Tamandua tetradactyla: one gene and its partners. The protein of the gene in region 2 interacts with the protein of the main gene of each other region in a biochemical or structural test. Links are inferred from orthologs where the notes say so. Each region holds a gene or a part of one and is shown on either strand. Other genes may lie near its edges.

Region 1 (7,173 bases), on a different chromosome or scaffold from region 2:
TTTTCCTCATGCAAAAACATTTTTAAATGTGTACATTTAGTCACTATCATTATACACTCTAGGCATTCCTAGATTATACCATCCCAGTCTTTATTGTCTATCTTTCCTACTGATTTCATTTGTGCCCCCAGGCCTCCTCCCTCTACCATTCTCACATTCAACTTCATTCAGTGTTCTAACATTATTGTATTACAGTTAGGTAGTATTGTGTTATCGGCTTCTGAATTTTTACAATCAGCCCTGTTGCACAATCTGTACCCCTTCAGTTCCATAACCCAATATCTACCCTATCTCATCTCCTGATGATCTCTGTTCTTAATTGAAATTCTCCAAGTTCATTCATTAATGTTAGTTCATATCAGTGAGACCGTACAGTATTTGTCCTTTTTGTTTCTGGCTAATCTCACTCAGCATAATGTCCTTAAGGTCCATCCATGTTGCTACATACTTCATAACTTTATTCTGTCTTACAGCTGCATACTATTCCATCATATGTATATACCACAGCTTGTTTAGCCACTTGTCTGTTGATGGACATTTTGGCTGTTTCTATCTCTTCACAATTGCAAATAATGCTGCTATAAACACTGGCGTGCAAATGTCCATTTGTGATAGATGGTTATTTCTTAGTTGTTTCTTTTTCCACATCTTTCTATGTAATAGCAGGTTAAGATGAAAGACAAAGATAAAGGAAGTTGCATGCCTTCCTTAAAGTCACTGAATGTTTCTGGATCTGAAACTAGAACACATTTGTCTCTGCTTATGGTAAATGTTTCATTTCTCCCTTTTCTTCCTCTTATTTTCATTAAAAAAATTCTACTACACAACAAAGAACCACAATACCCTGTCATAGTTTGTTTCTCTACTATAGGCAGTTTTTTTCATGGAAAATAATGTACTATCCATAAGTTGGCAAACAGTAAAAAAAGATTGAAACACCCTAACTAAACATTTCTGTTCTACTCACATGTGGTTATAATGTCAAAATGCCCCTTTTGTGAGAGTAATTGGGATGATGGAATGCTACTTTTTGAGAATGGAGTTATGATGGTGACAGTAGTACTCACCATGGAAGGTAATGAAGAGATGGTGGGCATGTTAGTTATGATGCTTGAGATTGTCATCCCTTAGATACAATGACAAGCATAGAATATTGAGCACTATTTTTCATTCATAAAATTCTCTTAAACACAGATAGTTTACATATATTCCCTCCTCCAACCTGTAAGCTCCATGAAGGCAAGAGTCACATCACCTAAACCTAGCACAGTTCCTGTTTAAAGTGGTCATTACATAGTGTTTAAATAACAGATTGAGTGAATGAAACCATACATAGATTCAACACTTTGTCTTTTATTTTTTTTTTCTTTAATTCTGTAGAAGCAAGTAGGCTCTTATCTAGTCACTGCTTTCAGCTCAATATCCAGAATCTCCAGGAGGGTGGGGTCTTCTTCTTTAGGCCTAAAAGTGATTCCTTATAACCCAGTGTTCTAGTTTGCAAGCTGCCAAAATATGATATATGAGAAACAGAACAGCTTTTTTAAAGGGGGATTTATTAAATTTTAAGTTTATAGTTCTAAGCCCGTGAAAACGTTCAAATTAAAGCAAGGCTACAGAAATGTCCAATCTAAGGCATCCAGGGAAAGAAAACTTTGTTCAAAAAGGCCAATGACATTCAGGGTTTCTCAACTGGAAAGCAACATGGCGACATTTGCTAGCTTTTTCTCCAGGTTTCTTGTTTCATGAAGATCCCCAGGGAGTGTTCTTCTTCACCTTCATAGGTCTCTGGCTGTGTGGGCTCTTGCAGCTGTCATGGCTCTGAAGCTTTTTCCAAAATGTTACCTCTTTTAAAGGATTCCAATAACTAATCAAGACCCATCTGGAATGGGGGTAGTCACATCTCCCTCTAATCAAAGGTTAAGTACCCCCCATTGGGTGTGTCACATCTCTGAAGAGATAATCTACTCAAGTTTCCAACCTACAACCTTTTAATCTTTTAAAAGGGAGTAAAAGAAAGGCTGCCTCCACAAGATGGATCAGGGTTAAAATATGGCTTTTCTAGGGTACATAATCCTTTCAAACCAGCACACCTTGTGGCCTATGATTTAAGAGACAATTATCTGCTTCCCATTCCCACCCAATGTTCAATGGTGGAGAAGGGGTATAATAATCACAATAAATGTTTCCATTTAGAAAATAAAACAGAAGATGTACAATAGTCATGGGTCCATTACAATGTTGGTATGCAGCCCAGCAGGCATTAGGAAAGTCCCTAATTATATACTGATTCTGCTTTCCAGAAGGATAATCCTTGTCTGTTGTCCTCTGAGGTCCTTGTCTCCAAACTTTTGCATTTTTTTCCTTTTCTTTTCTCCTCCTTAGAAAAAGGGGTCCATTTAGCTTTTGCAGCTCACTTCTTGAAGAAATAAGCTTGGTTTATCTACTATTGATTTGTTGCTTCACTTGTTTTGCTTTGTTTGACCTGGTTTGTACTTTCTATATTAACTTTATTCAGGAATAATATTTATACAATAAAGGACAAACATTTTTAAGTATATAATTCAATGTTTTGACAATTGTACATACCACCAGGTCAATCAAGAGAGAGACTATGTCCACTGTCCAAAAAGTTTTTCTGTGCCTCTTTGCAATCAATTTTGTCCCCCACCTCTACTCCATTCCATGTCCCACACAGCACTAATATCCTTTCTGTCACTACAGACAGGTTTTCCAAGTTTGGAATTTCATCAAATATCCAGCCAGTATTGAAATTTCAAATTGTCAGATAAATGGCATAATTTTGTTTATATTGCTTATTTGAAAAAAATATTCAAATAAGAATCACACATTGAAAATGACTGACGTTTAATTCTTTTAATTTCCTTCACCTACCCCCGCCTCTAATAATCTGTTAAAGAATCTTAGTAATTTATCCTGTAGACTTTTTGGACAATCTAGATTTTGTTAATTGCATCTAGTGATGTTATTTAATATGTTTCTTTTTCTTCTACTTTCTGTAGGTGTAGCTATATTTAGACATTTGATCTGATTCTGTTTAGTGTATTCTTAAGTGGGTTAACATTCTCAGTTGTTAAATAACCAATACAAACAAAATAGTAAATTTATTCATTCATAAACTACAAATTCTATGGCATATCATGGATTTACAGCTCATATCATAAAACCATGTTATGGCTTTTTGTCTTTCTGCTGGACGTTGAGCTTTTCTAAAAGTTTTTGTTCTTTCCCTACAAACTCTCAGCTCTAACGCCATAATATGCTTCCTGATGTCAATTAGTGTCAGTTAGTACTAAATGGCTTTGCTTTGGTCACGTACCCATTCTGAACCAATTACTGGCATTAAGATAATATGACATTTTGACTGACAGATTAGGGTGCTAAGGTTGAGGCAGTCTCACCAGAACAACCACATTAACTGTTGCTGAATTTAAAGATCTTTTAGTCCTCTGCCATCATCACAGATAGCATACAGAGGTGAATTTATTTTACACATATATTGACTGAAAAGCTTCTACTATACAATCTTTATAGACAATAAATCCTATTAATGAACAGGATTTCCACGAAAAAGGAGGTGGCGAAATTAGTGCGTTTTGGACAGCGAGGCGTTGGGGGAAGCCCCATAGAATTTTCCCCCGAATCCTCTCTACCAAGTTTGCTACGTTTTAGCACCTACTGTCTTTAAACTGTGGGTGGAGGTCCGTGAAAAGAGAAATTGTAGAGTCACGTTTTATTCCAGGAGAAAGTGGTAAGTGGAGGTCCGGGACATTAACAGTTAACGTGAGGTTACCATATGAAATATCTCTAAAGGGAAACTTGGTCTATTTTACCACATTACTTTTAACGCCAACCGCAGAGTATTAACCGTTTCATAAAACATCTCCTGGTAGGATGATGACTCCTACCATTAGAACGGTTTGGTAACTTCACGATAAAGGTCAGAATACCCTAGGAAACATGCACTCACTTGGCCAACACAACCCGACTCCTCCGCTAGCTGCAATCTGACCGCGTTGATCTTCCTCTACTGCCCAAAGTTCCGGCCTCCAGAGCCACGCCCCGCTCCGCGACCGGCTTTGTGGTAACGTCACTTCCGGCCCCCAGAGATTCGTATCCGGGTCATGTTGAGCTGCTTGCTCTCGGAATCCGTGACTGGTTGAGGTGTTGTGCTGTCCCCGTATCTCCTCCCGGTGAAACCGAACCGCAGAGTTTATCGGCTAAGAGCGACCACTGTCCCGGGCAGGGAAGGACGAGGAAGAGACCTGGGAGCGAGCGGCGGCCGGGCTGGGTCGTGCCGGCGCGGGTTGGCGACTCTGCTCCTCCGCCTGCTGCTGTCTTTGGGAACCCGGTGCCAGCGCTGAGGGGTCTCCGGTTTACAACGACCCGCTTCCCCGGCTCCCCTGGCCGCCCTACCGGGGAGGGCGGAAGATGCCGGTGAAGAAGAAGAGAAAATCCCCCGGGGTGGCAGCGGCAGTAGCGGAAGACGGAGGCCTCAAGAAGTGTAAAATCTCCAGGTACCACCTCCCCCCACGGCTGAAGCTTTCCTCCTTCCTCCTTTGCTGGAGAGCAGGAGGGGAAGGAGGCGGGCCCGGTTTCCGGGGCTGCGGCGCGGGTGAAGTGAGTCCCCTCTGATTCACCTAGGTAGTGGCTTCAGAACGCCGCGAGTCTCCGTTCCCAACCTCGTGTTCGCTAGTGTTGCGCTCTGGCGCTCGTAGAAGGACTAGAAGAATCACCCCGCATTAGAGTCTAAGGGCCCTGGAGGGTGGAAAACAGGGTCGCGTATTTCTGTAAATTGCCCTTTTTCATCCTGTCCCCTACTCTTTAACCCTTCCCTCACCTTTTTCCAGCTTTAGAAGTGGGTACAGATTCCCAGAAGGATCATATCTAGAATGTCTGTACAGTGTTTGAAGAAAGGACCGGAGCGTGAGGATCTTGACAACTGCCTTGGGAATGGTAGAAAAGAAAACTCTATGCTATAATTGGCCTTCACATTTAATATTTAGAGTGGCCTAACCCGGTCGTAGCAGGCGGCTTGCACCTGTGCCAAGTTCCTATCTGCAGAGTTTAGAAAGCCCTGCATGGTCTTTGTTGTCTAGCATTCAGGACGCTGCCAGCTCTCAATATAAATATTAATAATTATCTGGGAACTTATTGTACTCTGTGTCCTGTTGGAGGAAAAGACCAATCAGAACCGTAGTTACAGCTTTTTTATCCTATTGTAGCTTATCATTGAGGCATCACAGCAGTATGTATGCTGCAAAAAACTTGGAATTTAGGTGTGAGAAACGCTCTTTTTAATCCCCTTATTGAGTGTTTTTTACTATACGAATGGTTGGCATTCAGTGTAACAATGTCAGATGCTACCATTAAGAGAAAGACAGTAGTCAGTATTGGAAAGTGGAAATAATAGAGCTCTCCATAAAGAGGGATCTGTTGCTTAAATATGATTATTCCTTCGCTGTTAGTCTGTAAGATGATGTTTTTCTTCTTACATCATTTGGTACCTCACACTGAAATCTCATATGGTTACTTTACTAGCTCATGTTTATAAAACATATGCAAATTAGTTTTTTATTACCTTAACATGTGGCCATGTTAAATATATAAAGTATAAAAGTTAATTAGGTAATTGCATTTTCAAATGTTCAAAAATGCTGTGATTTTGCGCAGTAACAAGATGCAACCAATGGTAACATAGTAAATCAATAATTCTTTAAGTTAGCTGGGAATCACTGATTTGAAAAAATGAACACATTTTTAAAATTTTAATTAAGTACATTAAAATAGCTGAGCAGTCGATATTATTAGAGCTCAGGTGATACTTTGCTCTATCAATTAAATATTTAAATATGGTTCCTTTATTTTGCATTACTCTATTGCACAAGTTTTAGCATTCTGTCATTTGGGCAGTTTAATTATTGGAATTCCTTGAGAAAATATTTTCTGAAGTCGTTTACATCCTAGAGGTCATTTATGAACTTCCCAACTTGTAATGATCAAAATATGGCTTAAAAATAGACACAGGGATTTAATAGTTTTGGCCCAATTATTTGGACTACTGCTATCTTTTAGAGATTTTTGTTGTTTTTGTTTTAATCTGTGGAACCTGATTATACCCATATATCCTAAATCATCTTTTATTTTAAAAATTTATAAGTTCGGTAGACATTAAACAACTCTTAATGTATAATTTTATTTTGCAGTATTGAGTTAAAGTATCAAAATATGCTTTGTAAGATTTTGTTTTCAAAATGCTTGGAGTATGTCTGTTATATAGAAAAGTAATATTTGTGCAAATCAGTGGCAGAATCTGGATAAAGATTTGTACTTTCTCACCTACCACTTTTTGCATTGGGACCATTAGGTTGAGCTTCTCTGTAGTCCTTTGAAATCTGGGGAAATAATTTTAGTTGATATTTTTGGAATGTGATAATGAGCAAAGTAGCATTTGGGTTTTGTAAAGCCAGAAATTCTTATTTATAGACTACTGTTTGAAATTGCAAATACTTAAGAATTCCAGTTTTTTTCCTATAATGCCAACTGTAAAAAAACAAACTTTGTTTAGTTTGAATTGAAGTAGTTGAACTTAGCTTTGCATGAAGAGTTGAGATTTGATAAAAATCTTGGGCATTTGTGTGTTTTTAAGCTATTGCAGATCCCAACCCCCTGCTAGACTAATAGGTGGAGAGGAACATTTTTCAAGCAAGAAGTGCCTGGCTTGGTTTTATGAGTATGCAGGTAATGAAATTAATGTAAGAAGATGTCAATCATGTGCTTTTAAAAAGTTTTTGGCTCTTTCATTTAATAAATTATTTATTGCAGGCCTGCTGTGTGTTAGTGCTGTGTGCTGGAATCAGGGTCAAGACTGAGAATTGTGGGTATACTAAGAATTTGGTGCCTTTTTAAGCTGACATTTCTTTATATAGTCTGTATATATTTAGTGGGAGAGGAATAGCTCCTTTATTTTGTAAACAGAGAAATAGTCATTTATTACTTTACATTCATTGGCTAAACTGGTATTCTGGGAAACATAAAATAGATAGTAAAGCATTTTCTACTTTACATACTTGTTATTTTCTCCATTCAATATTCTTTTGAAATTTTTCTGAACCAGAAACTAACATATTTGAAACCTTTTGGGAGACACAGTAT
Region 2 (7,938 bases):
CTGGGAGGCGGCAGGAGTGCGCGTGCGCAGGCGCCTCAGTCGACCGCGGCGGGGCGCATGGGCAGCAGCACCGCGGCCTCTTGCGGCCAGCCCCAGGCTGTTGCAGGGCTCCAGCGGCGCCAGTCCCTGGTCTCGGTCGCCGCATGCCACACCGTGTCAAGCTGAGCTCCTTCCCGTTACCCACCCGAGGGCTCAGTTCCTCCCTTCGCCTCGGTAGGCCCCGTAGGGCCAAAACCCAGGCCGCCGGAACTGGTTGTACCAAGCCTTCCCGGTAGGCCCACCCACAGCGTAAAGCAGAGCAGGGGACGGCACAGACTCCTCGCCAAGCTGCCTGGCACGCTGCAAATTTATGTCAGCTTCAGGTTTGGGGCCTGGTCTTCCCACTGCACCCAGGATTGCCCCAGGCACAGGGCAGCCTGCCCGGGGCACCCCAATATCACCCGTGAACACTCTTCTCCCACTAGCCCCCCTGGGCCGCGTGTTGTTCCCCATAGAAGGAAGAGGCGAAGGCCATGCTGTAACATTCCCCTTTAATAGCCTGGTAGGACCTCCAGTGGCAGAGGGGTGGGGTGCCGAGCCCCGGCTACCCAGGCCCCTCATCCACCTGCCCAGGAGCCCAGAATGGGGGGCTGGATAGCACCCAGCGCGGGGGGGGGGGCTAGACAAGCCAATTCATTTCCCATCGCTGAGCGGGTCGGGGGAGGCAGTGCCGACCTTAATCACATGGTGGTTAAAAAAAAAATAACGGGAGGGACGGGTGGCAGGGAGGGGAGACAAGGCCAGGGCAGGGGACCCCCCTACTGACTGCCGCCCCCGGCCCCCACCCATGGACCCCAATAAATATTTGCAGGGGACGCCAAGACTGGTGGCCTTGGCAGGGCAGGGCAAGCGCTGACCCTATTTCAGACAGCGCTCAAAGTAGGTGGAACCAATGTAGCCACCCCGCATGGAGCGCTGAACGTTCTGCTCAAACAGCCGCCGGTTGTTCTGCAGGACCTCAGCAGCCTCCTTATTCAGGGGATCCTCAGGGTTGGGCTCCTGTGGCCAGCACACGTAGAGGTCAGTAGGCCCTAGAAACAGAGGGGCTGACCCCCACCCCACAGCTCCTGGCCAAACCTGTCTCTACTCACCAAGAAGAGATACTGCAGGCCATAAATTATGGAGTTAATCGTAAGGACTGGCTTCCAGTCCTCTCTGTGGACAGAGAACACTGGGGTCAGGAGCTGGCAAACTAGCAGCTACATCAGTCCTTCCTGAGGCCTGAAGGGTCAGGGTCCAAGACCCAGGAGAGTGGGTATGTGAGAGGCTGGGGGGAGTGTACAAAGAACAGGCCAGAGAGAAAGTCAAGACCATGTCATGAGAATGAGGCAACAAAGGTACATGGACTGTGTGGGAGAGAAGGGATGTAGATGGACTGAGAGCCCATGAGGTCACAAGGAGCCAGGAAGCAGGCAGGGCTGCGTTACAAGCAGTCAGCAGAGGTGGCATCGTCACCTGAGGATGTTGAGGCAGACATTGCCTTCGAGGTCGATGTTGGGGTGATAGACCATTGTCTCGCACTTCACCTTGGGGGGGTCATGTGGGTAACCCTGGCCCACCTGGCTCAGGAAAAGAGAGGAAGTGGGTAAGTGCCTTAGAGGAGGCTAAAGCCTCAGGTGCGCCCTCTTCAGCCCTGGGAGCTACCCATGTCCACCCAGGACTCACCTTAAAACTGAATACAAATTTCCCACTTTTGTAGAAGCCCTGGGAGAAGAGAGAAAAAGATGTCCAGCAGGGCCTGGTGGACAGAACAGAGCCCCTCCTCATGGTAGGGTTATCCCAGGTCTACCTGTCCTGTGCAGTCTCTCACCTCATCGGGACAGATGACCAGCTTGAAGTTGAGGAGATCGTCTGGATCTGAGAAACTGATATCACACGTCTTCGGCAGGTTCAGCTCGTTTATGTCTGGGTTTGAACAGCAGAGAAAGTAGACAGAAAGAAAGGCCATCACGTTAAGTACCAGGAGAGCCCCCACAGCCTCTCCACCAGAATCCAGTCTAGGGTTGTGTCCCATACCACAATCCTCTCCCTGCTGGGTCTGGCCCCCAAACCCCAGGCCCTTCTGGATTCACAGTACATCCCAAATGTGCATCTTCCAATGTGGCTGTGTCTTCTGGCTCCCAACCTAAACCAAGCCCTGACTCTTTTGTATACATAGCTCATATCTTCAACTCCCAAAACTGGGGTGCTCCTGATCCCGAATACACCCAACCCTGGCCCCTAGCATCTGATCACTCCAAATACCATGTTTCTCATCCATGACCTCCATTCTCCATATCCCTATCCACCCAAAATCAAAGTAATTGCCCCTCACCCTGATACGGTAAACTATCCCCTCATTCCAATCCTGGAACCTCGCTATTTCATCTTCTCTTGCCTATCACCCAGGTTTCTGCTTTACTCCAAGATGTGCCTACCCCAGCGCCCCCGTCTCTGAGATTCCTGGGAACGACACTATGATACCCTAACTCCTCTCCTACTCCTATCTCTTATCCCGAGCCCCCACCATCCTTTCCTCTTCCACCTGTCACCTCCAAACCAGGCTCCCGTCTGTCCTCCAGATTCGCAGGTCCCTGATCTGGACCGCAACCCTCAGCCTCAGGTTTCCGGTTCCTAATTCCAGACACCTGGCCTTTCTGATATCCTAACCCCCATCTCTGACCCTCGACGCCCGCATTACCCCACTGCCCACCCTAATTCCCTCATCCCCCCAATCCACCCTGCCCTGCCTCCGAATTCCCAGGTCTGCGGAGACCCATTACACCCCCCGACCCCCTATCGCCAGGCCCTGACCTCCGACCCGTCACCCCCCTACCCTTCTGGATTCGCAGCTGCGCCGCGGACGCCTTCTTGCTGCTGCCCTTGGTGCCGCCCGCCGACTCCTCCTCCTTCTTCTGCTGCTTCAGCGAGAACAGCTTGATCATCCTGCCGCCGCCGCCGCTGCCGTCGCCGCCGCGGGGCCCGGGACCCCGGTCACCCGGCCCCCCGCCGCCACCCGCGCCGCTGCCGCTCCTCGGACTCGCCGCCGCGGCCTCCTCCTCCGCCGCTGCCGCCGCCCGCCTGGCCCTCCTCGCCGCTCCGCGCCCACCGCGCGGCCCGCCTCGGCTCCCGTAGTCCGGCTCCGGCCTGGCCCGGTTCCTCGGACGCGCTCGGCGGCGCTCGGCGGTGCTCGGGACGACTCGGCTGTTTTCGGGCCGCGCACAGCCCCGCCTCTCGCCCGGCCGCTCCCTCCCTCTCGCCCGCTCAGGTCTCTTTAGGCCCAGCTGCGGACGCCGGGCTCTGTCGGTCGGGTCGTTCGCTCACTCGTTCCCTCCGCGAGGTGCTGTGGCTTACGATTTGAGGAGGAGGCGGTGACTGCGCTGTCGGCCGACGTGTCCTCGAGGCGGATCTGCTCCAGGGGCAGCAGTGGACTCGCCGCGGAGATCGGCAACGGCCTCGGGCGCCCCGCCGCTTCGGCTATTTCCGCCGCCTGCCCGCTTAGGCGCCTCACCACCGGCTTGTGGTCTGCGCCTGCGCAGCTGCCGCCGTGCCGCCTCGGCGCGCTCACGTTGCTCAGCAATGGGATTTGGGGTTCGGGCTCCGTCGGATGGGCTCGGGTATTTCCGTTCATGCGGGCCCGTGACGCGTCGCGGGTACTTCCGGAGGCTCTCTTTAGGGCTCACGCAGGAGGCGGCGCCACCATCTTTGAGTGGGGGCAGATTCGCCTCGCGCGCTGTGTGGCCATCCCACTTACACGCGTACAGAGCCGCTGCGGGTTTTGGGTCAGACGAGGTTTCTGTGCCCGGAGGTCACAGAGTGATCGCGGCGGTCCGGAGCCTGGGCGAGGCTTGGCACGCTGCCAGTAGTGCGAGGTCGCGCATCCTCAATGTTCTATCGCAAACTCAAAGATCCCCACTCCTGGAGATTCTTGTTGAGGAGAACTAGCGAACAAAATACTTATTGTGGCAGAGAGTGGTAAGCACCATGGAGATTTACAGGGATGGTCGGAAAGACCTCGCCAGTCGGAGTGGATGCTGGGGACCCGCCGACTGGGCCGGGGCCGGGGCTCCTGCGCAGAGCCCTTCGGAGTGCCTTCCGCGCCTCCGGGCATGCGCCGTGAGCGCCTCAGCGTCCTGTCCAATCACCGCTCGGTGGTCTCGGGGGGCGGGAGGAAGCCGTCACTAGGGCAACGAGCCCGCGGTCATGGTAGCGGGGCTTGGGTCCCGGGTGGGTGGCCGGGCTGCGGTGCTCAGCTCTGCAGTGTCAGAGCGTGGCAGCCCGGCGCATCCCCCACCGTGGCGCCTCAGCACGCGGCCGCCTCCAGCAGCACTGTGGGAGACGCAGTTCCTTGGTCCAGGAGGGCCAGCGGCGGGCGTGCGCTCACGGGCCGCTCCCGCCGACTGGTCATAAATCCGCGCCGGGCCCGGTCACGTCACCTCGCCGAAGTAGCGCCCAGCGCTTCACAGCGCGGCTGCCGTCCACCCCAAGCCGTCTGCTGCTCTCACCTCGGAGGGCCGCCCTCACCTCTGCCATGCTCACCCCTTGGCCGACCCGGCTCTGGGTGAACGGGGTGGGGAGTTCCTTCTATGGCTGAGGCCGTGTGAAACCTAGTAGCCATTTTGACCTCGGCCCTGCTGACGTTGTGAGCGGAGCCCACGCTCTCAACCCCTAGCTTCGCGGAGGCTTTGCAGGGTGTCATCGGCGGAGAGGACAGAATCGCGCTCAAGTGGGGGCTCATGCTTTGCTTCCCGTGTTTCTTCAAGAAGGTGAAGAAGTGGCTTGTGGATCCATGGACTGCTCTTGGCTCTGGGTGTGGGCCCTTGGCCTGGTGTCTTTCTCCATGCCTTTCTTTGTTGCCATTTTTCCTGTGTGAAGTTTCACATTTTGTGTACTGGTATCAACACATTTCCTTTTAAGTACTTCACAACACCAAGATGATTAAAACACGGGCACTTTTTTGTTCTTTTTGTTTGTGATTAGAAGTCATGAGTTAAAAAAAAAATTTATGTTATAGGAATGTAGGATTTATAAAGTTCATGTACCCTTTTGTGCATGCATGCCTGCCCTGAAGTGACCTTCCTAGGCCCGTGTGAGTGTCCCAAACTGTGGCTAGCTTCCTTACCCCTCTTGTTCTGCCGAGCCCGGCCCAGGGTCCCTGAAAGTCCCTTTGTAGTTGGAGAGGACAGTAGGTGTGATCACATAGCTTAGGGATCACACACACACACCCCCCCCCCGCCCCCGTGTCACATAGGAGAACCCCTGCAGGGGACTCTGCTGACTTTGCTTTTATGGACAACACAGTGGCCATAGGAAGTGGGCTTGGTCCTGACTCAGGCAGTGGCTGGGAACTGGACCAGGTGGGATGTGCAGATGGGGAATGGGAGCATGCCTTCTCTAACCCCTGGGCTCTCTGGAAAACCTCTGGCCCAGCCTGGCTTGTCAGCTTTCCCTGAAGCCAAGGCCCTGACCTCATATGTGTTGGGGTGACTGAAAGTGTTAGGGTCTACCTGCACTCCTGGGTGACTTTTTTTTTTTTTTTTTTTGGCATGGGCAGGCTCCGGGAATCGAACGCGGGTCTCCGTCATGGCAGGCAAGAACTGTGCTACTGTCCTGGCTGACTCTTGAATACAAAGATCTCCAAAAGAGATTTCTGGAAACCCCCAATCTGAGGCCAGCCTGACACCCACCCAGTGAGATCCTTGACCTGGAGTTTAGGGCTCAGGGTGGACCCTGCTGAGCACTGACCCCTTCTCTGATTCTGCCTTCAATCCCACAGAGTGGGAGAATGAAAGACTCACGTTCCTAGCACTCATAAGTAGGAAGGGGACTGTGTCAAGGTCCTAGCCAAAGAGGCAGAAAGGGAAGCTGAGGGAGAAGAGACAACAGCGTAGAGAAAAGCCTTGAGGGTCACAGAGATCTCAGCTTTGTAGACTGCAGGATGTGGAATCCACACTGGCGGTTATCTATCCACATTTACCTGAGTTGCTTTCCACTGTTTCATGTGAGGTTTTTGCTGAATGGATTCCTAGTGGATACCTCCCAGTATCTGGGAGACTGTGCGGCGCTATGCAAGGGACCAGGAAGGGAAGAGCCTGCCACCAGTGAATTGAGGCTTGCACCAGACCTCCCTTCCCTGTTCTGGCCTAGTGTGGCATCTGCAGGAACCTCTGGCCTCAGCGAATTAAACCTCTGGGAATTAAAGACAATTGTATAAGAATCTGGATTTCCAGGTGTGGTGGTTAGGTTCAGGTGTCAACTTGACTAGGTGAAGGGGGCTAGTTCTCTTGCTGTGGACGTGAACCAATGGCATGTGAAGCTCATCTGTTGCTGATTACATCTGCGGTCAGCTAGGGGTAGTGCCTGCTGCAGTGAATTTTTTTGATTTCATTTGCTGGATGCTTAAAAGAAAGGTCAACGCAGCACAGCCCAAGCAGCTCAGCATACTTCATCTCAGCACTCACGGCTCTCAGCCCAGGACTTTGGAGATGCAGAAAGGAATCACCCCAGGAAAGCTGTTGGAACCCAGAGGCCTGGAGAGAAGGCCAGCAGAGATTGCCTTGTGCCTTCCTGTGTGAGAGAACCTCAGATGAAAGTTAGCTGCCTTTCCTCTGAAGAACTATACGTTTTTAATGAAATAAATCCCCTTTTATTAAAAGCCAATCCATCTCTGGTGTGTTGCCTACTGCCTACTTTGGCAGACTAGAACACCGGGTAAAACCTCCCAGCTTTTAAATCTAGGAAATGACTTCTAATTTTTACAAATGCACACACACCTCCAGACCAGCACTGGCTTGCCATGTGCCAGCTCGTGACTCCTGCTGCACCTCAAATGACCTTGGCTGGCTGGGAAAAACTGGTGGGGTCCAGGTCCTTGCCTGGAAATTAGTTTGGCCAGGCAGCCCTGGGGAGAGTATAGCTGGAGTGGGAGTACAGGTTGCAGGACATCATGAGCCAGGCATGATGTTGACAGTGAACCAAACTGGGTATGCTTTTGGTGGATCCAAGTGAGAGTCTGGGCTCTCAGCTGTCAGAAGTGCCAAGACCCTGCTGGGTCTCCAAAAGGACCGTGACCCCTGAGAACCAGCTCCTCACCTGCTCTTTCCCCTCATCCAGAGAAAACCTTGACTAGGTCTCTTCCTCAGGAGTTGGGTCTTTGATGGTCAGGCTCACCTGTGAACTTGGCCAGATGATGGTGCCCAGTTGTCTGTTCAAGAAAGCACTGGCCTGTCTGTTGCTGTGAAGATGTTTCATGGACTTAAAATCACGAGCATGTTGGTTACATCCATGGCTGATTATATCTGCAGTCACCTAAGGGAACTGTCTCCTGCGATGAGTGATGCTTCATCACCCAAAGGCTTTTATGAGAGTTCAGAAGAATCTCTCTTCAGCCAGCCAGCCTCTCTCCTGGGGAATTCATTGAGGAACTTCATTGGAGCTGCCAGCTCACATCCTGCCCTACAGATTTTGGACTCTTATGTCCCAACAGTTGCATGAGACACTTTATAAAATCTCATATTTACAGTTTTGTCCTGTTGGTTGTTTCTCTAGAGAACCCTCACTAATACAGGGCCCTAGCCCCTCCCCTGACCCCAGAGGCCCCTGCCCCAGACATCAGTGCCCCCCACTCCCAACCCCACTCAGGGACCTGAGATTCAGCTCAGTGGGGACTCAATCAGAACTCCCAAACTGCAGTATTTTCCTTTGTTCCTCCAGCCCAGAGATGTAGCTGCTCCTTGCAGTTCCTACCTCCATGCCTTTTTTTACTCTCTTAATTACTCATTAATAACCTAATGCTTAGCGATTCCTCACCTGAAATTTGCTTGTTTAAACCTCTGAAGACACCTGAGAGGGAGGATGGGCGAGGAGGCAAGTGTAGATGAAGTGGGTGGATACAGAGGGTATGGGTGGGGGTTGGGGTGG
Region 3 (7,495 bases), on a different chromosome or scaffold from region 2:
AATAAATAAATACGTCACTTATGAAAAAAATGTTAAAACAAATGCCTGTACTGAAATTATGCAGAAAATCCTAGAAATACTTGTCTTTAAATGTTCACCATTTTAGTTTATCCTTAAATGTCTGTAGTTTAATATACACAGCACTTTAATTCCAATGATTTGTCTGTTAAATGAATGGCTAGAGTTTTTTTTAAAGTCTTTTAAAAAGTGTTAATAAAAATGATAATGATGCCAAATTACTGGAAGTTATTTACCTTTCCTAAAAACATTTTCTACAATATTCAGCAACTCTTCGAAATATGTCGATATAATTTTAGATGAATAACATATCTTCTAAGAAATGTTTTGAATCATTAAAGCCCAGATTGGGTGATAAACCATTTTAATTTTAGCACTGACTATAATATAACTTAGTATCAGAGGATTAATATTTTTTCATAGAGTTTATAAAATAAAAACAAGCATGTATAAATCTTTACCTGAAGTTTAAGAAGTTATTTAAAGAAGCTTCCCAGTACATAATCACCTATGCAGTATCACCCCATCATGTAATTTCTTTAGTCTTTCTAAGCAAGTTACCAAATACTTGACTACCTTTCTACAGAAACTGACTATAATCAGGATGAAACTTAGCTCTTTTACAGGCTGAGCCAAACTGACAGAAAACGGTGGAAAATCACACCACATATGTTAAATAAATTAGTTATATACGTTCTGTGCAAATGTTTATTTAGATAGGGAGCAAGAAAAACTCCGAAGGAAATCAAACAGCATTTTAATATTTTTTTAAAAAACTTATCTTTCTCCCTTTAGGCTTCTGCTGTAGAGCTACACATATCTAATATTACAAAATAATCAAGTCACTTCCAAATAGTCAAAGCACTAAAATATTTAGTATTAGCAAACGAGTCTTCCCAAGTTTCAAATACAATACTTAAAAAATTTCAGTTAGCCAAACTCTTTAAAAACCATATTTGATTTTGAAGCCACAGAACCAAACTGTATGAACTTCTTTGGTCACTTTACTACACCAGTTCATCAATTTAATTAGGAACGCAATCACTGCTTTTTTTCACGGTTCTACTTGAACAAAACAGAAAATTTCCTTCCTTTGGATAAGATTTAAGCATGTTTCAGGTATATGCTCTTCAGCCATAATATTTAATTGGAGATAGTTTTTCTTTCTTTTAAAATGCACGCAAATTACGACAACCAAGTACTGTGAGAACAAAACTTAAAGGATTAAAAAAATAAAAAACTCTTTTAGATTGAATTATTTAGTAACTAATTTATGAGCGGATGGGAGGTGGAAAGAAAGGAATGTAACAATTAATGGAGGGCAAGAAAGACACCAAGGTAACCGGGAATATTCTTCAACATGCATTTTATCAAGAATTTGGAACCGACAGTTCTAGTTCCCTGGAACAGAACCTCTATAATAAAATTTCATATTCACCAACCTCATATAAGAAAACCCCTCTTTTTTCAAAAAGACCCATTTGCTTGGTTTACTTTTCTGTTTAGGGTTCAGCAATACACCCATTCGGCAGTGATATTGGATATAAATATACTCTACTGAAAACCCAAGTTCAGGCTGAGGTTTAACCTGACAAGGGAAACTGACAGAGATGCTGGCGGGAAAACCTTACAAGCAAAGTTTCCTCTACCCTGGATCCCCTCCCCTCTCTTTACACCTTCTCCGAGAGAGATAATCTAAAGAATATGTATGTAACTCAATCCTCGGAGAACTTAAAAAAGTTCATCTTTCAAGCTGAATTAGCCAGTCCATTCACACCTCCGAGAAGGGAGTCTGCTGCTGGGTCCCCGAGCCGGCAATAGCAAGGGCCCAAGCGGGCTGATCGGCCTAGCGCCTCCGGCAGGCCGGCGGATAGGCCAGGCTGCCCAGTCTCCAGGCCTAGCACTCCCCTTCCCCAACAATAGCAGGTGTCTTCACCCCTTCACGCTACCTGGGACGTGAGAATTACGTCTCGGAGACAGGAAATGCGGTAGGGACGACTGAGGACGTACAGTGAAGGGACCTAGGGCCAGAACGGACAACGGCCTAAAGGAAAAGTGGGGGAGTGAAGTGACGGGGGGCATTCGGAAGGAAAGGGCCGGATAGGATCAGTGAGTGGGTAGGCTGCCGACTTAGGGGAAAACGAGGAAACAGGTTATGCCCCAAAAGGTGCGGCAAGACCAGCGCAGAAGGCCAAGGTCTCGAATGAGGGCCCTTGAGATGGGCTTAGAGACGGATTTCGGACTCACCTGAAGTCCTTGTCGCTGGATGTCATTTTCTCCAACAAATTGGAAATATGGTACGAGGCGCTCGCCATGTTGACGGCCTCGATCCCGCCCGCCGCCGCTGCTGCTGCTGGGGCTCCTCCTTTCGCTCGCGGCGGTTCCCGCTCCCAGGGTCGCAACGCGACGCCGACGCTGACTAGGGAGGCGCCTAGGAAGGCTACCCCCTCCCCGGCGAAGCGTGGGCCTGTCCCGAGGGAAGCAAAGGATACGGTGCCGACCTAACGACGGCGCTGCTCGCGGGAGGACGAGGCCATGAGAGGCGGGGAAATACAGCAAGGCCGCTCCAGAGATCCAGACACTTCCACTGAGGCCTGCCTGGCTCTCACTCTGCGAATTCGCTCCGTGGAGCAAGCGGCCAAAACCCGCCTCCTTTCCAGCGGGGGCGGGAGTGACAGACGCGGGACGCTACGGAAAGCCCGGGTCAAGGTTCACGTAGGCCCCTCCACGCACGCTTCAGAGACGCTAGTTAAAGGGCACTCCTATTGGCTGATGTCTAAGTCAGTCTTCGCTTGAACGGCCTTTTTGGAGGCATGACTACGAGCAAACTGGGATGTTCTCGCGATACTTTAAAGCAACGGTTAAAGGAGAGAGGCGAGCACTACTCTGAAAATAATTTGAAGACTGTTTGTGTATGGCATTAAGAAAATAAAGTTTACGATTTTTAAGGATCATAAGATTTGAGATTAGTGCTAGTTAAGATATTAGCCTCGATAAGAACAAAAGAATTATTAGCGGGAGCTCTCCTTTCGATTTGACGCGTGGCCTTTCATCGTGGTGTAATAATGCCACGTGAAAACCACAAATCCCAGAATTCAGTCGGGGTAGCACTGGGTCAGAGTGTCATTGGCTGCAGGAACTTATAGCGTCCTAATTGGGTTCCGTGGGAGGAGTAACTGCTGGGATTTGCAGTCTGGCAAGGCAGCAGTGCTAGATGGAATCTTTGAATCACCACGTGCTGGGTTTTTGCGGCTAATTCGGGTTTCTCCTAACAGACTTTCTTGTTTAGGGATGTTTGCAGAATTGGCTGTAGCAGTTTGGGAAGGGGCATTACGGATTCATGAATCCTGGTATTCTTAGCAGAGGCCTTTAGCGACTAACAATATCCTCATCCTCAAAAGGCCACTGAGCCCGCCAGCTCGCCCTCCTTGCCTGCTGGACACACTGACCTCTTGCCATCGTGGAGCACCTCCCTACAGCAAGCAGGACCGTATTAAAACTAATGGGCCAACGACAGGTGATTGTATTCGAAGCCTACCCGTTTTTTTCAGAACAGCTAAAAGACTACCTTCTATAGTCAGTTGTTATATAGTTGATAATCCTGCAGCTGTGTATTTTATTGTCCCCCAAATATACACAAAAAGCCTTCGGAGATTAGATATTCAAATCATTTGTTTTATTATCCAAGTTTTTATCTACTTAATACTTTGGATTTTGAGATAAATTTTGTCACCAAGAGATAAACACCTAAAACTTTGTTATGGATTTGAGGTAGGTAGAATTGGAGCTAGCTGACACACTTTTCTAAAAGAAAAAGTAGAGAGGGCAGTGAAGGGAGAAGGAAAATGATGTCTCGTTGTTTCTCCTCTTGTTTAAAAAAAAAAGCCTTTAAATAGCTCCCTACTTCTAAGTACGTCAAAACAAATAAAATCTACCATTTCTTTATCTTTCTTTCAACTACATTCGTTAAATATTATTGTTTCTAAAAGCCAGGTACTGTTATAGGCAATGACAGTTAACACAACATAGGAAATCTGATCTGGCCTCACATTATATACCTAAATTCCTCTCATTACCCTTTGTCTATCCCCATGTATGTTTTTACTTTAATACTATTTTCCTCCCCGGTGATACCATAGCTCTTTCCTCATTTTACTTAGGTCTACCATCATTAGGACTTCTTTAATGAAACATTTCCTGAGTGCTCCAGCCAAATTAATTCCCTTCTGCTCTGAACAGTCCTTAATAATATACTAAACAATATTAATAATTACAATATTAATAATATTAAACAATAGTAATAATATTGAACAGTCAAATAATATTTAATAAGCTGTACATACACATCACACGCACAAACAGGCCATTTTTCTTGTGTGGACTCCAAGGCTTAAAATCTTAGGCATCTGGTGGTAACCCTTTTAACCTATATCCAATCAGACACAAGTCATCTTTTGTCCTTTTTCATGTGTAAATCCTTGCATTTATCAGTTTCCATCTGAAATATATTTGGAGTCAGAGAACTTAAATATAAATATTTGTGCCGATTGGTTGCTATTTTAGGTAGTTCATTTTAATCTCTCTGAGCCCTCAGTATCTTCAAGCTAAGGAAATGATTGGGCAATTAATCTTCAGGGCTGGGGGTTTTTTGTTTTTTTGGCATTTGAAGGCTCTGGAAATCCAACCGCATCTCCGTCATGACAGGAGAGAATTCTACCACTGAGCTCCCTTGCACCCCCCTTTCAGAGCTATTTTAAGAGTTAAATAAGATATCCCATATAAGTCCTTAGCATTTGACCTGGAACACAATAATAATATTTATACCTAATACATCTTGCACACTTAGAAAGGTACAGAAAAACATCTAATAAAAGTTAGCTATCATTATTATATTCTTTCAGGCTTTTGTTCCTATTCCCAAACCATTCTACACAGCCAGTTTAGGGTTGTCCAAAACGTTTTTGTAGTGTTACCTATTTAACACATTATATCTTTCTACTGCAGAATAAAGTCCATATGTTTTAGCAATCAGTGCCTCCATCTGACCCTAATCATTTATATTTTACCTTTCTCCCATTATTCTAATACAAGAATTGCCCCCACCAGCTTTTTATTTTTTATTTTATCTTTTTGTTTTTGTTTGTTTTGAGTCCCTCTAAAGACCCAACTACAAGTCTTCGGTACATAGTTATAATAAAAAAAGTTATGGATCAAGCACTGTATTAATTTATTTAATCCTCAGAACAACTCTATGAAATTATACATTTTAAGTATAAAGGCATAAGTATCAGGCATGAAGAGGTTAAGTAACTTACTAAAAGTCACCAACAAGGTTCAATTAGAATTCAAAACTAAGCAATGTTGCTTCATAGCTCAAACTTCGAACTGCTACTCTAGAATTCTTCTCCCAGCCTGGAAGGCGTTCCCTCTCCTCTATCCCTCTTTTTACGGTCTTGAACCAATCACAGTGTTTATAAGTTCACTACCACTAAAGCATAAGTTCTTTAAGAGTGTGTACCATCTTTTCCCTTTTGGGGAATGGTGAGAAAAGAGGGAAATATTCAACTTCCCTATTTGGAGAATTTCTGATATTCTCGCAAGCAGTGGGAACAACCAAATCAATAGGCGGAGCCCTGGATCTTGTTGTTTGCCCCTATGAAACTTATCCCTGCAAAGGATAGGCTAAACCTACTTAAAATTAGGCCTAAGAGAGGATACATAGGTAGTTTAGTAGTTAGAATGCCTGCCTTCCATGTGGGAAACTCGGGTTAGATTCCCAGACCATGCACCCCAGAAAAAAAAAAAAGTAAAAATTAAAAAATTAGACCTAAGAGTCACTCTCAGAGAACCTCTTTTGCTGCTCGAATGTGGCCTCTCTCTCTAAGCCCACACAGCAAACGAACTCAGTCTTCCCCCTCTACATGGAACATGACTCCCAGGGATCAATCCTCCCTGATAACATGGGACAGAAATCCTGGGATGAGCTGGGACTCAGCATCAAGGGATTGAGAAAACCTTCTCGACCAAAAAGAAGAAGAGAGAAATGAGACAAAATAAACTCAGTGGCTAAGAATTTCAAGCAGAGTTGAGAGGTTATCCTGGAGGTTATCATTATGCATTATATAGATATCCCCTTTTTAGTTCATCATGTATTAGAGAGGCTAGAGAGAAGTGCCTGAAAATGTAGAGCTGTGTTCCAGTAGCCATGTTTCTTGAAGATGATTGTATAATGATATAGCTTTTACAGTGTAACTGTGTGATTGTGAAAACCTTGTGTCTGAAGCTCCTTTTATTTACAGTATGGATAGATGAGTGAAAAATCTGAATAAAAAATAAATAATAGAGGGAACAAAGGTTAAAATAAATTGAGTAGATTGAAATACTAGTGGTCAATGAAAGGAAGGGGTAAGGGGTATGGTATGTATGAGTTTTTTCTTTTTTCTTTTTTCTTTCTTTTGCCGGAGAGATGCGATGTTCAAAAAAATGATCATGGTGATGAATACACAACTATGTGATAATATTGATCGTATACCATGTATAGAATGTTCTATGTCAACAATATTTATATGTTTGTTATTCTTTACAATTTAAAAAAAAAGAGTATGTACCATCTTTAAACCCCTTCTGCTTCTTTCAGGTACTTAGTTATGGCAAGTTTGTAATGGGCGCTAATAGTATTTAATTTTTTGTATTCTTGACCACTTAGAGATTTAATTTTTATATCACTTAATATAGAATGTTATTAAACAGTGGAGTAGTGCTTTCACTTAAGGATCTGTTAATGCTAAATTAATTTTAGGTACAAAAGGAAATAAGTCTGAATAAGGCTAACCTCCAAGAGTTTTTTTTCCAGTCAGTGGTCATAAAAGAAAATTAAGATGAGAGAGCAGGAAAAATTGAATCCTTCAAGATGTCGTGAGTTTCTTTTAATATTAAACAGTAGTTTGGCTTAGTTACAAACACTTACTGACTGCTGACACAATGCCAGGCACTGAACTGTACAGTAGGGATGTAAAGGTGAATAAGACATATTCCTTAACCTTGAAGACCTTTCATGTTGATCAAATCTTAAATTTCATATTAAAAAATTACTGTATTTTAGGCAAAACTAAGAAAAATTCTCACCCTAAGTATATAATCAGAATAGTTTTCTATTTATGTTCTATATTGAAAATAAGGAATAGATGTTAAATAGATGCATTGTATTTAAAATTTTAATTATGGTAGAATTGAGGTGAGATGAATATTAAGAAATACATATCCATAAAGAAAGGACAATGAAAATGTTATGTAATTGAGTCATTGAGTTATCTGAACTTGTTGGGTTACCAATTTGAAATGTTGTCTAGTTATTTTGTTTATTAGGTACCCTGTCAAATATTTTCCATTGCCTTTAGTGATATCTTAGACCCCCTAACTTTCTAGACCCTTCAGTGTTAAAAGTCCAATCCAGTTTAGTCCAAAGGCCAGCTAAATA

The links.
Region 1: the proteins of UBE2M (region 2) and DCUN1D5 form a complex in vitro, tested with the Homo sapiens proteins (3 studies listed by BioGRID). The link is inferred for Tamandua tetradactyla from reciprocal best matches to the Homo sapiens genes UBE2M and DCUN1D5.
Region 3: the proteins of UBE2M (region 2) and CAND1 form a complex in vitro, tested with the Homo sapiens proteins (2 studies listed by BioGRID). The link is inferred for Tamandua tetradactyla from reciprocal best matches to the Homo sapiens genes UBE2M and CAND1.

What each region holds. Positions count from the first base shown.
Region 1 is NC_135334.1:38,989,731-38,996,903, forward strand, and holds the start of DCUN1D5 (DCN1-like protein 5), read left to right. Parts: upstream 1-4,107; 5' UTR 4,108-4,449; coding exon 4,450-4,535; exon of another isoform or gene 4,536-4,974; intron 4,975-6,667; coding exon 6,668-6,759; intron 6,760-6,851; exon of another isoform or gene 6,852-6,895; intron 6,896-7,173. UniProt on the Homo sapiens protein: Contributes to the neddylation of all cullins by transferring NEDD8 from N-terminally acetylated NEDD8-conjugating E2s enzyme to different cullin C-terminal domain-RBX complexes which is necessary for the activation of cullin-RING E3 ubiquitin ligases (CRLs).
Region 2 is NC_135342.1:120,775-128,712, reverse strand, and holds UBE2M (NEDD8-conjugating enzyme Ubc12), read right to left. Parts: upstream 3,025-7,938; 5' UTR 2,964-3,024; coding exon 2,855-2,963; intron 1,945-2,854; coding exon 1,850-1,944; intron 1,744-1,849; coding exon 1,705-1,743; intron 1,599-1,704; coding exon 1,495-1,598; intron 1,195-1,494; coding exon 1,131-1,194; intron 1,039-1,130; coding exon 898-1,038; 3' UTR 512-897; downstream 1-511.
Region 3 is NC_135333.1:135,243,141-135,250,635, reverse strand, and holds the start of CAND1 (cullin-associated NEDD8-dissociated protein 1), read right to left. Parts: upstream 3,071-7,495; 5' UTR 2,334-3,070; coding exon 2,266-2,333; intron 1-2,265. UniProt on the Homo sapiens protein: Key assembly factor of SCF (SKP1-CUL1-F-box protein) E3 ubiquitin ligase complexes that promotes the exchange of the substrate-recognition F-box subunit in SCF complexes, thereby playing a key role in the cellular repertoire of SCF complexes.